2 linked regions of the Schizosaccharomyces pombe genome follow. The gene in region 1 interacts genetically with each later gene. Each region holds a gene or a part of one and is shown on either strand. Other genes may lie near its edges.

Region 1 (7,181 bases):
ACTCGCACATGACCTCCACCACGCTTAAGCCTACTGTTTACAATAAAATTCCGCTTACGCTCCTTAGTAGATCTTGAGTAAACCCCTTCACCATCTGTACTTACTGTAGAAGAGGACGTTCTTCTCGACAGGGATGGACGTTCCATACTAAACGTCTAAATGAGGGTTCTTTGGGGAACTGTTTAGAAAGAAAATGAAGAAGAAACGAATACAAGCAAAACGCTTGTAAATTAACCTTTGAAATGATTAATTGAGTAAAATATGAACATGAAGAGGAATCCAATAAAAAGCTAGTCAATTCCCAATTATGACTAACAAAAACAATGGATCAATAATGTAAAAGAACGATATTAAAAAAAATATTTAATTATTAATTTTTCTCACTTGTCAATTCCTACTCCTGAAGTGAATAAATTAGCAGGTTAAGAATTCGTTCGCCAAGATAGGTGAAAGGAAAGAGAGGATGGAGGTGTGTCAATGTGAAACGAACAAAAGATGGCAAATATTATAAAACGGCTATAGCGTGATATCGTTTGTTAAAATATTAGATTTATTTCAATTCACTATTTTCTAGCTCAATAAGTGCAATTTATCATTACTAAAGGCATGGGTAATATATTACAACAAACGTTGGTAAAAGGAAGATGAGGAATTTAGTCATGTGGTACTCTTTTGTTTATTTTAAAAAGCGTTTTATTTGGTTTAAATTGCAGTTACAGTTTCAATTCTACAGCAAGTTTATGATAAAACTTTTCGAGTAAATGTGATGTGAAATTCAAGGATTTTTTTCTAATCAAATGAGGAGGGGAAGATATCTACTTTAATTTAATAAATCAATTGATTCCATTGCTATCGATACATGGATAATTAATTTGTGGGATTGAGAAGAAATTATGCGAACAAATTATCTAGGCTTAATATTCATGAGTTTCGAGTTTTAAATATGAAGTCAAAATTTGCGCAATTCGAGGTCATCAATGTCATTTTTTTGTGACGATTAGCCGTCAAATATGTTTAACATTGCACCGGCTTCAAATCTTTGCGTTTGATGCATTCACTATTCTATATTTTCACTTCTCTCGATATAGGGAAGAGAAATTTAAGGATTTTGCGTGTGCTAAGTAAGCATGTAAATGGGTTTCTATTCGAAAATGTACGCTTTTTTCAAATTTTTCTACTTTTTCACACCATTAATAGCGGATTACTCTACTTGATGGGTCAAACTGAATATCCTTTATACTATTTTCTAATTTGAAATTAATTGCCTATTACGAACAAAAGCGACGAGTTCTCAATATCATAAAACCTGCCATAAACTTATGTCCATTTACTTGGTTCTTCTGCACAAAAGAAACTTTCATATTCCTTTTTGTCAGTTCTCTTAGGTTTAAAAAAAATGGCAAAGCTACAATCTAAATCTTCGAGCGGCAAAATCATTTATTGAACTTTGAGACGATCTCAACCTAGCTGTTCTTTTTATTTCATCATTTTTGGAAGGTAAAAAATAATTTGAATCTGTTTTTCTAAGAAATGCGTATTAAGTATTAGTCGTGTTGATTTAGTTATTTATATAAACAAAGCAAGATTTCTCTTGCGTTTTTGAATTTGAGCCAATATGTTAAATTTCCTTATTGTCGCCTATTTTTATTAAATACATTTTTAAAGTTAAATTAAATATCAAATTTTGGTACAAGCTTCCAACATGTCACGAATGTTACAATTTTCACATAGTCAAAATTGATTAATTTCGAATATTAATTGCCGGATTTCTTTTAAATCTACATATAATTCATTAATTTAGTAATAGGTATTGCAAAAAAACTTCTCACTTCCGTTCTACAAACAAACTGCTCTTTCTTTATTCCCGATGATTACCGCGGCTCAGGCGCTGACTGAAAAAGTCACAGTGATAATGTTACCAAAGGATGAAAAAACAATGATATTGGATTTACCCTTCTCCAATTTATTGTTTCAACTAGTTTACTAGTTATTTAAAAAGACATTTCGAAAATCTTTCTATTTATGTTAAAATTTCCTAACATTTTTCCTTCCTTTGGGTTCGTATACATATATATATTTTTCTAATGGTATTGCTAACTCGAGATTTGTGATTTATAGAAAAAACTAAGCAAGTTTGAGAAGAGTAAGATAAGGAAACCATTATCATTCTACTTGAATTAATTCTGTTTGAATAAATATCTTTGGCTCTACAAATTGTGGAATATTTTCGTTTCACGCCAAGACAGAATTTACCTTTTAAAAAACGTTAGGTTCACCAATTAGTCTTTTTTTGCTCTACAGTTTTTTTTTTTTTAAACTTTCTTTAGTAATATTTCCTTGGAGGCTAGCATACCTTTTTTTTGGGCTTCTTATTTATTTTATTTCTTTCGTTATTATGCCTGAAGCTTTTGAGCGTTATTCAAGCAACCCAACTTATGAACCCCCATGGCGTAAAGTGCGATTTATTGGAATTGCAGGACCATCGGGTAGTGGGAAAACCTCGGTGGCCCAATTGATTGTAAAGGCGTTAAATCTTCCACATGTTGTTATTTTATCCCTTGACTCGTTTTACAAATCTTTGAATGCAGAGCAGAAGAAGAGAGCATTTAACAACGACTATGACTTTGATTCCCCCGAAGCCATTGATTGGGACTTGCTCTTCGTAAAACTGCTAGAACTTAAACAAGGCCGTAAAGTTGACATTCCTATATATAGCTTCAATGAGCATAATCGGCTTCCTGAGACCAACACGTTATTCGGAGCAAGTATCATTATTCTCGAAGGGATTTTTGCTTTATACGATGAAAAGATTCGCTCTCTCCTTGACGTCTCGGTCTTTCTAGATACAGATTCGGACGTGTGTCTCTCTCGTCGACTGAATCGCGATATCAACTATCGAGGAAGGGACATAGTTGGCGTTTTGGAACAATATAATAAATTTGTCAAGCCAAGTTATGAGAACTTCGTTAGGCGTCAACTATCTTACACTGATCTTATCGTTCCTCGTGGCCGGGACAATAAATTGGCAATTGATATGGTGATTAATTTTATTCGTAGAACACTTTCTATACAAAGTGAAACTCATGTTAAGAACATTGATAGTTTACAGCAAATTGTACCAACCATTCCCCATTTACCCTTAAATTTAGTTCAGCTTAAAATTACGCCTGAAATATCTGCCATCAGGACTATTCTTATAAACAAAAATACACACCCTGATGATTTACAATTTTTTTTGAGCAGAATTGGCACCATGTTGATGAATTTGGCAGGTGATTCGCTTGCATATGAAAAGAAAACGATTACTTTGCATAACGGAAACCAGTGGGAAGGTCTACAAATGGCAAAAGAGCTTTGTGGTGTTTCAGTTTTGCGATCCGGCGGAACTCTTGAAACAGCTTTATGTCGTCAATTTCCAACAGTGTGTTTGGGTAAGATTTTGGTGCAAATCAATAAAGTTACTCAAGAACCAACTTTACATTACCATAAATTGCCCCGTGGCATTGCTACCATGAATGTTGTTTTGATGGCTTCACATTTAACTACACATGCAGATGTCTTAATGGCCACGCAAATTTTAGTGGATTTCGGGGTCCCAGAGGAAAACATTATAATTGTGGTCTATGTTTGTTACTCTGAAAGTATTAAAGCGCTGGCTTATATTTTCCCAAAGGTTACCATTGTTACAGCATTTCTAGAAAGTGTTGCTGAACCCGTAGTCGGTAGATTGGATATCGAAAAAGTGTATTATGGATGCTGATATAACATTTATATGCGTGGATATAAAAAACAAAAGTTTAATGTCTGTTAGGAGTTTAGTGTACATTTTATTAAAGAATTCCCTTTGTTTGGATTATTACTTGCAGAAAACTACGGATAACAGGTGTTTGGTGATATAAATGTCATATTAATTAATTCGTGTAATTTCGTATCGCTCGATTAGAATAGTTCAGAAATTCAAAGTTATAAATAATGAAGTTTGAAATAGTTTAAGTGGAAACGCAGTCAAAATTTTTCCAGGGAAAATAAGAGACGAGACTATCAGGCAAGCAAAAAAAAATAGTAAAAAAATAGCAATACTATGTAACACATGAACCGAAAGACAAATCGTAGCTGAGAGAATCTTTGAATAATCATATATATTAATTAGTTTTGTAAACATTGAATCATTAGTTTAAAAAGTAGCCTCCAAATCTAAAATTGGGTCAACATATACTTTTCCAGATTTCGGACGGAAAATAGGAGTCAGGTTGCCCTTGGAAACGGTCTCCAAAGAGATAGAGCAAAAAAATGGATGTGTTTGAAGTTTCTTGCTGGAGTGACCCAACCTCTTCTTAATGTCCATTTCTAGAAAAGCCATAACAGCTGAACGAGCATCTTTCGAGATAGTAGTTAGCTTTTTATCCCGAGAAATATGAAGAGCAGAAGATAAACGATCTGCTGATGAAGCCTTTTCTTCCTCTGAAGCTCGAATCCAATTGATCAAAAGATGATTGGGAAAAGGTCGCACTTGAAAAAGGCATTCGTAAAATGTTATACCTAAGGACCACCAGTCTGATTCTTTATAAGAAACAGCGTGAATTAATGTCTCAGGAGCCATATATACAGGGGTCCCAACGCGACCAACAGTCATGTTTGATTTAGAAGGAGAAGATGAGGTATGCACTTTAGCTGCAACATTAAAGTCAGCCAACTTGCAATGTCCCTTCTCATCCAACAAAATATTATCTGGCTTTACATCGCGATGAAGCACCCCCTTTGAATGTATATAAATCAAGGCAGATACTAGTTCTACCATCCAAATACGAATGACCGATTCATTGAATTTTCTTTGGGAAATATGGTATCGGAGATCTCCACCAAGCATTAAATCAGTTACTAAGTAAATTTTCGTTTCATCCTCAAACTCAGAGTAAAACTTGCATAGTAGAGGATGGTTCAATGATTGTAATAATAGAACCTCATTTCTTAGCTTCTTGATCTTATGCTCGTCGTGTTTCTTTTTATTGATGCATTTAAGAGCAAACCTTTGCTTAGTTTGACGATGTTTCACGACGAACACTGTACTCCAGCTTCCTTTCCCAATAACATTTCGAATTTTGAACTGAGAAACACTTTCAAAATTGGTGGCATTTGGATCCTCAAAATTTTCTTTGTCGTTTTTAACACTTTTTGAGTTACTATTTCCCATGTATAAAAAACTGCGGAAAGAAAGCACAAAGGTGCAGCAATGTCTATTTGACTTTGGTGGATAGGGACGCTAGCGAACAATTAATTTACATTTAGCATTTCAAAATGAAAACTCACTTTTGACTCAAGCGCTGCGACGCCTTAATTTGAGTAAACGGTCCTGTAGTTCGATAGCTTGACTAGTGTAAAAAAAAAATAAAGAGAGAGAATTCGGTTTTTTTCTTGAAAACGAGTGTTAAAAAATTATTTATTAAATTTGGTTTTGGATAAATCAGAGAATTATGGAGTCTGTAGATTCACCATACCTGTAGTCAGGAGGTACAGAGAACAAAGAAACTTAGCAATTTATGGGTAAACAAAGAATCAGGGAGATGATGCTTCTTCAATAGAGTCGTTTAAATGCAACTTTAAAACTTATCCTTTTGATTGGATAAAATTAAAATTAGCGAAGCTTATGTTATTTCTCAAAACGACCATTGGTTGTAGATAACTCGTTAATAGTAATCTTAAATTAACCCAAGGAAGATAACCACATTTAGTTGGTGAGAGTGAAAAAGCACATTACACGTTTTCTACACTGAATTTCCTTTAAAAACAGAAATTTTCACAAATTTCCTTGTTGTTTTAACTGTTAGTATAATTTTTCTTCCATTTTGGGACAACCTACGTTAAGAGAAACTTCCTTCCCCACAGTGTACAAGAGGTGGCTGAAAACTGCAATGGAAGTACAATGCAGTACGGAGGTTTCTACATAATAAGTTCCCCTAATAAAACACCTACAAAAGAAGCATAGTGACCCTGCTTCTTTTTTCTCCTTCACCTATAATACTGTTGCTTCGTTGAGATCAGTGCTTCTCTCTACAAAAGAATTTCCAAACTTATCGTAATGCGTTGCCAGAGTTAAGGCCTATGTCCAAAGCTTTATTTTAAAATGCTGGAGAGAACAGAAAGTGGAACTTAATATGCATAGTAAATATAAGAATAACAGAAGCAGGATTTTGTAAGTCTAAAGATATTTTTAGGTTTGGATACACTCATTCCTCATAAAAGAAAAAGGAAGGAAAAGGGCGTTGTTCATTTTTTTAAAAGGAATAAAGAACCGTCAAATGATTTTACCGGTTTGTCGCATTAGCCTAATTTGGATATAATTCGAAATTGTATAAAAGGTATCCAATTTTTTCCTGCGTCTTGTAAGTCAATCTCCGATAAATAAGAGATTAATGTGAAAATAATGCCTTCATGAGAAACAACTTATTTCAACCACATCTCATTCTCAGCAATCACAGAGTTCCATTATAGACGTTGATAAAAAAAATAATATAAAGAATAAGTGCAGCAATTACTTCGTCCGGCTTCAATTTGTCCTTTTTACAAAGTCAAAGTTTTCGAATTGTCTTGAAGCAAACAACCCTACACAGATCTGTCTGTCATAGGTAACGCTTAATATCTCTTAGGAAATGAAGTATAACGACTGTGATTTCCAAGCGCTTCATCTTACCTTTTAACGAGATTGGATCAAGAGCCTTGGAATAATTTCGTTTCTCTTAAGTTTAATTCCCATCGTCCATTCGCTGCTCTTTCTGATATATGATTAACGATTTCTTTAAACATCTCGGTGAATACGAGATTTGAACTCCTTCACTATTTCCTTAGAAGCTTAAATCCTCTTTCTAAGAAGTAATTTTTGGCTGGCAACCAAGCAAGTCATGCTCTAAAGTTTTATGATCGTTCAAAAAAATAATCCAACTAACGTCTTTGGCATTTCGTCTAATCAAACCTTGGAAGTCGCTTTTCATCGACAATTTCTTAGCTTAAACTTGACAAATAGATTACATTTTTTCTACAATATTCAAGCATTTCTTTAACATTTTTTGGAACTAGTACTTTCAAGTAGGGTCCTTTACTTTTTTTTTTAAACAACGGACGAGCGCAGTTTTTGCACCCCAACAAGTAGCACTTCAATCTTAACTTACCCACAACAACACCACGCC
Region 2 (7,286 bases), on another chromosome or scaffold:
AACGTGGCATGGGAAGCCTAAGCGTTCAGCTTCAGCATATGCTTTTTTACTCCAGGCTCCGGTAATAATATAGTTTGCAACAAGAGATTTAGCATTGCCATTCTTGAGGGCATGGTGTGCATAAACATTATAAAGACAAGCGGCAAATTGTTCTGTACCACCGCCTTGCATAAATAAAATATGAAAGTTTTCGGGGATATTGTAAAGTTTACGAAAATTGGATTCAGCAGAAGTAACGATCCCGGAACCTTGCTTGCTGCGATGGGAAATTTCAGCGACACCCATGCCAAGGCCCTGGAAATTGACAAAGTCCTTTCCAAATTCCTCAACTACAGAGGTAATCATAGCGGCAGGACCGGCAGCAAAATTAACTACTTCCTCTCTGGATGACATTTTGTTCCGTGAGCTCAAGCAGAAGTATACTTAGAATTTAAAATAATCTGAATATCAATTTTCACAGGTATTACTCCAAAACTATTTATATGAGAGTAAAACTAATTACAATAGTAAATGTCGCCTAGAGAAATCAAAACCTGTCAACGTGATCCAATTATCAACTCCTATGATATGGGTTAAGAGGAAGTGAGTGAAGTCACTACTTCTTTTTTATACACACCGATGAGATCCCAAAAATGATAGCGTATTCGTTTACGCTTTGTCAATTTAATTCTTTTACAGTAATTTATATTTTAGATATCTCATTACATTAATTGACATTTCGCGTCTAAATCTCATATGTGGGAACTTCTACCTTTTCACTTCGTGGTTTTCGTACTCAACTCAAGCCCCAGAAAAGACCGGTTTATTTTAAATTAAAAAACACCTAAATGATTTTAAGATCAATTGTATATTATGAATAATGACAATTTGCATGATAAGTTAACGATATGGCGCCAACAGCAAATTGAACTTAAAGGGATGTTGCAGCTAATTCCCAAATTTCAAAGTTTGAATGAAATAAGATATGTTGTAGGATTGGATATCTCTTTTGATAAATCAAGTCCAAAGGCTGTCTCAGCCCTTGTTATTTATGATTTAGAACAACGTATGATTATTTATAAAGATTATTTGTGCATTGAGAAATTAGAAGAGGACTATGTTCCCGGGTTTCTTTCATTTCGAGAAATTAAATGGTATTTGCCATTGCTAAATCACATTCCTCATCAATTTCGAATTGATATCATTTTAGTAGATGGAAATGGCGTATTGCATCCTGTCGGTAAGTAAGATTCTGTAAACAATCTATTTACTTCAAGGAGACACTCTCAATGAAGGATATTATTAATTATATCTAACTCAACTTAGGATTTGGATTGGCTTGCCATTTAGGTGTGTTGTTGAATCTTCCCGTTGTTGGCGTCGCGAAAAATTACTTACATTGCGTGGGTTTGACTGAAAGCTTAGATGCACATCGTGAAACTTTAAAGAAACACGTGCTAAAGAAAACAACTGATCATCCAATATTGATTCACTCGATTGATCAATCTTCTGAGATTCTGGGCGCTGCAGTATGGACAAGCAGTAACTCGAAACGCCCAGTTTATGTTAGCATCGGTAACCAAATGAATTTAGAACAGTCTATCCAACTCGTACAGAAATGCAGTAGCTCTCATAGCAGGGTACCGGAACCGATCAGGCAAGCAGACATTTATGCCAAATTTGTCCTAAGTCAATCGAAAAGGAATAAGAAAAATTAAGCAAAATCATCTTACGAGAAACATTACTTTGTCTACTTAGATATTCTGTGAGTATTTTAATTGACGGTTTAGAATTAGATTAATCTACAGGAAAGAGAAATAAAAAAGCGGAATTTGAACAAACGTTAAGCAACCTTTAATGGAAATCCTGTTGTATCATCCAAGCTTAGTAAAGGTCAAAAAATTACCGTTCAAGTCATATAAAGATACACAAATCTTTGAAATGAAAAAACAAGCCCAATTAAAACAGAAAGATAAAAAAACAAAATTGACGGAAGAAACTAAAATTCGAATCAATCTCTTTGAACATTTGTAGGACATGAAGGTGGAGGTAGTGGAATATCAGTGGGAGAGGATCTAGCAACTTGCTCATATGCAGGAGGACTGGGTCCAACACTATTGAACATTGGGGGGCATTCCTCATCCCAACTAACACCAAGACCACCTCGTTCAGTCAAAGGTAAATTGACCTTCATCCTTAAAATTCGGGCATTCGAGTTTATGGGATGCGAGTTCATCACTTCGACGACTATAGTCTCAAGAATTAGTTGATGGGCAATATATAGAGAGAATTGTCCATCAAAGGAAACATCACAAATAGGCTTTGAAAGTAAAGATGTACTGATAGGGATCTCGAAGATAATTCTATCGCCATCTTCTTTCCAACCAGACTTATGTTCATTATTTCCCAACAGCCGAGTCTCCTTGAAAATGTATGGCTTTTTTGTCCCAGTATGGGTCGAGCAACCATTTATTTGAGCTTTTATCTGTTCTTCTATTCTCCACGAAATCTTCGTTAAGCGCCAACCAACCTTGGAGTTTTCAGGTTTTACACCGGTCAGCTGAAATTCAACAGGAACACAACTCAAAGGGTGAATTACAGGAGGCAGCTCTAAAAGAGCAATAAGCGAAGTAGGGGGGAAGAGACGCTGGGCAATTTTATCAGCATTAGTGACAATAGAGCGTTTCAAGTTTAAAGGATATTCAAAAACAAAATCGGGTTGACTGGGAATCTTAACGCGAGTTTTTAGGATGTAAGTAACGTTTATGAATGGTGAGTTGGTCGTTTGTGGAAAATGTCCAGGTATTATAAAAGTGAATGGCCAAGTATGTGTACCATGAGTATATACGGTAGGTTCTTTAGAAAACTCCCATTTCTCAAAAGCCTCAACCTGAGCTTTGCAATCGGGACAGCTGTCGCGCAAAGGACGCTTTGTGGATATTATGCGGACGAATTCCATGACAATGGATTCGCATTTGAGATCTGCAGGAAATACAGTCAACTTGGCAAGTCCAGATGCTAACGCTCCACTAGAAACATCTGGATTCCCATACATTACCAAAGGAGGAGACTCCATCTGGATGTTGAGTTCGAAAGGTTGTTCTTCTGTTGAAGCATGCTGAAATCTCCTGACTAATGAAGGCATCTTGACGGTTCAGCTAATGACTTAGGAATTAAATATTAAAAGGAAAGAGTAGGAAAAAATGAATCTAAAGAACAAAGGGGGGCCCGATCAGAAGAATTAATATGAGATTGAAATTAAACAAACAGAAAACGGCTATGAAGAGAATGAAATATATTTTTTGGTAAAAATTTTAAATTAATATATATCCTTAACAGCTTCTGAGGTTGAAAGCGACAGCACAAGAGATGAACTCAGGTTTTATGTAGAACGGAATAGGGATTATCGAATTTGGAGCTTACTCCTTAAACGTTTGATCAAAGATAAGCAATTGTGCTTCAATTTTTTTCAAATGATATAAAACAATTGAAAAAACAACTTCCTCTCAATAGTAGTTCGAAATGGAAAAAACAATTAAGTAGCGTTGAATGTGTTTTTCTATGCCAAAATATTTACTCAAATCAATATACAGGAGCCTTTTTTTAGCGTCCAAAGAAATACTTTGCTCACTGTAAGCAGAGCGTAACTATGAATACAGTGCATATAGCACCTCCCTATGAAAAATATACTAATGTAGTAAGAAGAGAAGGTTTTTGCAAAGGAAGAATAGGAAGTGTAGTCTGCATGCTCCCCAGGCCACTGAATGCGAAGGTTTTCAAAGTTTGTTATCTACAATCTTACGTAGCTGTGCGTATCTCAAGCCGACCTAAACAAATCTCGTTATTCCAAATAATATTTATTTTAAACAGTTATCATAATTCTATATGATAATAATCCATAGTAACTAAGCTGTTTTATATGTATCTGAACAAAGGAATAGAAAAAATAAACCCAGTTTCCAAGTTTTTCTTTCTTTTATCCTTGAACATATGTATGTTTAATTCTTAAGATATTGCTACCTAAGGATTTGTAATAAAAAATACGTTATGATAAATATTAAAAAAATAACACATAAATAAGCATATGCCTCTAGAAGCCTAACAAATTTATGTTTTTTATTGCTGAACTATTTTTTTAAAACACATGCAAAAAATGATTTGCCGATACTTTGAAGCCGTCACAGCTGTTTGTTGCAACTGAATACACTTTCCTCAATATCGGAGTTATTTCCGGCGATCTAATCGACGTGATAACTGGAGAAAGTTATCATATCTTATCATTTGTAATTCTAAAAGTAAAATCGATCAACTCATAAAATAACATTTCACTTTGCTGCACTGTAGATTTTTCTTATCAAATCTATTGGTGTACTAAACAGACTAGCTAACGTTTGCTGATCCGATCGACTATAGCAGCACACTCACTCTCTATACCATAAGACGTTGCCGAACCGACATCTATCGTCATTCAAATAATCTTTGGATTTGGTAATTTTAGTCGTTTACATACGCTACTTAGTATTTTTTTGGATTTTACGCTTTTCTACTAAAGTATACGAAAATTAGACTACCTTTCGTGAACAATATAATTGACCAAATCTTAGAGCTGAAATTTTTTGAGAAATATGTCTTATATGCATTCTTTAAACCTGATGCTGCAAAATCCCAGCGGAATTGACAAAATTGCTGCCATTCTTGTCAACGTTGCGAGGTTGGATCCAGCATCTTCGAAATCAACTGCTCAACTGGTTTCTATGCTAAATGAATTTCGATGTATTTTACGTCTTCCTGGTCTCTACAAATTAATCGTAAATTTTCGTAAAGATTCTTCTCCTGAAACTTACATGAGTAACGCAATCAATATTGGATACTATGTCACAGAAGGATTGGCATTCTTAGGCGGCAAACAGATTATTTCCATATCAAAACCGTTGGAAGACAAATTATGGCTTTGGTCTTCTAGATTTTGGCTTCTCGATACTTTATTGACCATTTACCAGCTTTTGCGTGAAAAAACAGAAGACGAAAAGGAGCATCAGTTAGACTTAGCTTCAAACTTGGCTAGCCTTCCTTTGTGTATTCACTGGTCTGTAGAAAATGGAGCTGGTTTACACAAACACCAAATTGGAGTTCTTGGTCTTTTCAGCGCAATTGTACAAACTAGAAAACTAATCCTCTCTTTGCACAATAAAAGAGCTTAGTTACGAATGAGCTTTTTAAATTTAAATAGAAGTTACTTTTTTCATGTAATTCTATTCGTGCTCAACTATTTTTCGTTTTCTCGAATGTCTATGTGAGTAAAGTAGTAAACAAAAGTGGTAACAGTCGTCTTGGTTTTTTCAGCAAAAATCGAAATATGCCATTCTAAATGAAGGGACTGAATCGGTTTAAAGCTTGAAAGGTTTTAGAAATGAAGTCGATTTTAATCGTTAATCCATTCCATTAAAGCGTTTTAAATTTTGGGATATTGATCGAAAATTTAATCAACGGAAAACATTAAGTTACTCTTTGTTTGTCACCAAAATGTACCTTGTCATTTTTTTCTAATTGAACTGAATATCTTTATTAACGAGTGTTTTTAATGGCCCTGCAATTTCAAATTGAGGATGTACGATATCATACTTTTAAGTATATCATATATAAACGTTAAGGAATTATTATCAACTATAATGCACTACTTTTTTAGGTTTCTTCTGAAGCTCAGTACTGTTGAGAATGTTCTAATTACGACTCAAGAATTGACGGATAATAGCTCGAATAATAAATTTGAGGCGACATAAATGGTTACAAGTTGATTAAAGAACATAGAGATTAATACACATACTGTTAAATATGGTTCAATTGTTGAATTCATTTGGACTTTAATTCCAGCTTTAATCTTAATTTTACACGCATCATAATGGTTTCACTCAAAAAATCAGATTCAGTAATATAAAACAATTTACTACTGACTGAGTACAACGATATTTTCATCTAAAAAAAAATCTGAAAATATAAAGAATATTGTTATTTAAAAGAAAGGAGAACAGACTACGACAAATTGAAAAAAATGAAGGAATTGGTAAACAAAATGTATCTATCGAAAACAACGCTGTACTACGTAAAGTGAATACTGTTCGTAACCGCATTCCATACGGATGGCTAGAATCCAGTAACCCTGCCCTAAACTGTGACTGCTTTATCTCATTAAACCTGCGAGAAGTCAAATTATGAGCTACCATCTGCAATCACCATGTTGTTGTACAAGGACGTTATTTCTGGAGACGAACTCGTTTCTGACGCCTACGACTTGAAGGAGGTAGACGATATTGTCTACGAGGCTGATTGCCAAATGGTCACTGTCAAGCAAGGTGGTGATGTTGACATTGGTGCCAACCCTTCTGCCGAGGATGCTGAGGAGAATGCTGAAGAGGGTACTGAGACTGTAAACAATCTTGTTTACTCTTTCCGTTTAAGCCCTACTTCTTTTGACAAGAAGTCCTATATGTCTTACATCAAGGGTTACATGAAGGCTATCAAGGCTCGTCTTCAAGAAAGCAACCCCGAGCGTGTTCCTGTTTTCGAGAAGAATGCCATTGGATTCGTCAAGAAGATTTTGGCTAACTTCAAGGACTACGACTTTTACATTGGTGAGAGCATGGATCCCGACGCAATGGTTGTCTTAATGAACTACCGTGAGGATGGTATTACTCCCTACATGATCTTCTTCAAGGACGGTCTTGTTTCTGAGAAGTTCTAAATGCAAATTTGGGTTCTTATAAGGGAGTTTCTAACTGGGAACATGATATCATGTCTAAATTTTATAGTTTTGTGAATTAGTTTTCACAAAATTTCATTAGGATTAGAACAGGGGTTTTTGTTCTGATAATAATTAATTATGCTAGCTTATAATCATGTTCAAATTGAAATTAGTGTTTTTTTATCGATTTTGTATTTGGTTGAATGGAAGATTGAGGTATCGATGTTTTAAAACGTGTGTGCTAAAATTCATGAATCTATTTATATATTAACAGGCCGAAATAATTTAGTAAGTAAGGATATGGTTTGAAATTTGGTATTTTACCATTAATTTAGTGTATTTTTTTGCTTTTTATCGAAGTTGATAATTCAAGTCCTTTACGAGGAATAGCCAAACTTTTGTTATGGCGACACTAGACGACCCGGTAGCCATTGAAACTTTGTTACAGTCGAAACTATAGTTTACTGTTAGTACTAAAGATTTGGGAAATTTTTGCTCGACGATGTTATTTTTGTAGCGGACGACTATTGGATTAAATTTATGCTTAATTGTTAAGCCTTTTAATCAA

The links. A genetic interaction does not mean that the proteins touch.
Region 2: mutations in urk1 (region 1) and any2 together harm fitness more than expected from each alone (negative genetic interaction), as found in Schizosaccharomyces pombe (one large-scale study listed by BioGRID).

Annotation. Positions count from the first base shown.
Region 1 is NC_003421.2:1,554,050-1,561,230, forward strand, and holds urk1 (uridine kinase/uracil phosphoribosyltransferase), read left to right. Parts: upstream 1-1,949; 5' UTR 1,950-2,057; intron 2,058-2,118; 5' UTR 2,119-2,395; coding exon 2,396-3,760; 3' UTR 3,761-3,864; downstream 3,865-7,181. Other genes in the region: TORC1 subunit Tco89, read right to left, coding at 1-146; serine/threonine protein kinase Ppk33, read right to left, coding at 4,175-5,191.
Region 2 is NC_003424.3:3,808,960-3,816,245, reverse strand, and holds any2 (arrestin-related substrate adaptor Any2), read right to left. Parts: upstream 3,698-7,286; 5' UTR 3,125-3,697; coding exon 1,991-3,124; 3' UTR 1,698-1,990; coding exon of another isoform or gene 1,306-1,697; 3' UTR 1,220-1,305; coding exon of another isoform or gene 853-1,219; 3' UTR 501-852; downstream 1-500. Other genes in the region: ser1 (phosphoserine aminotransferase), read right to left, coding at 1-393; SPOM_SPAC1F12.06C (DNA repair endonuclease), read left to right, coding at 853-1,219, 1,306-1,697; SPOM_SPAC1F12.04C (uncharacterized protein), read left to right, coding at 4,605-5,180; tma19 (translationally-controlled tumor protein), read left to right, coding at 6,212-6,718.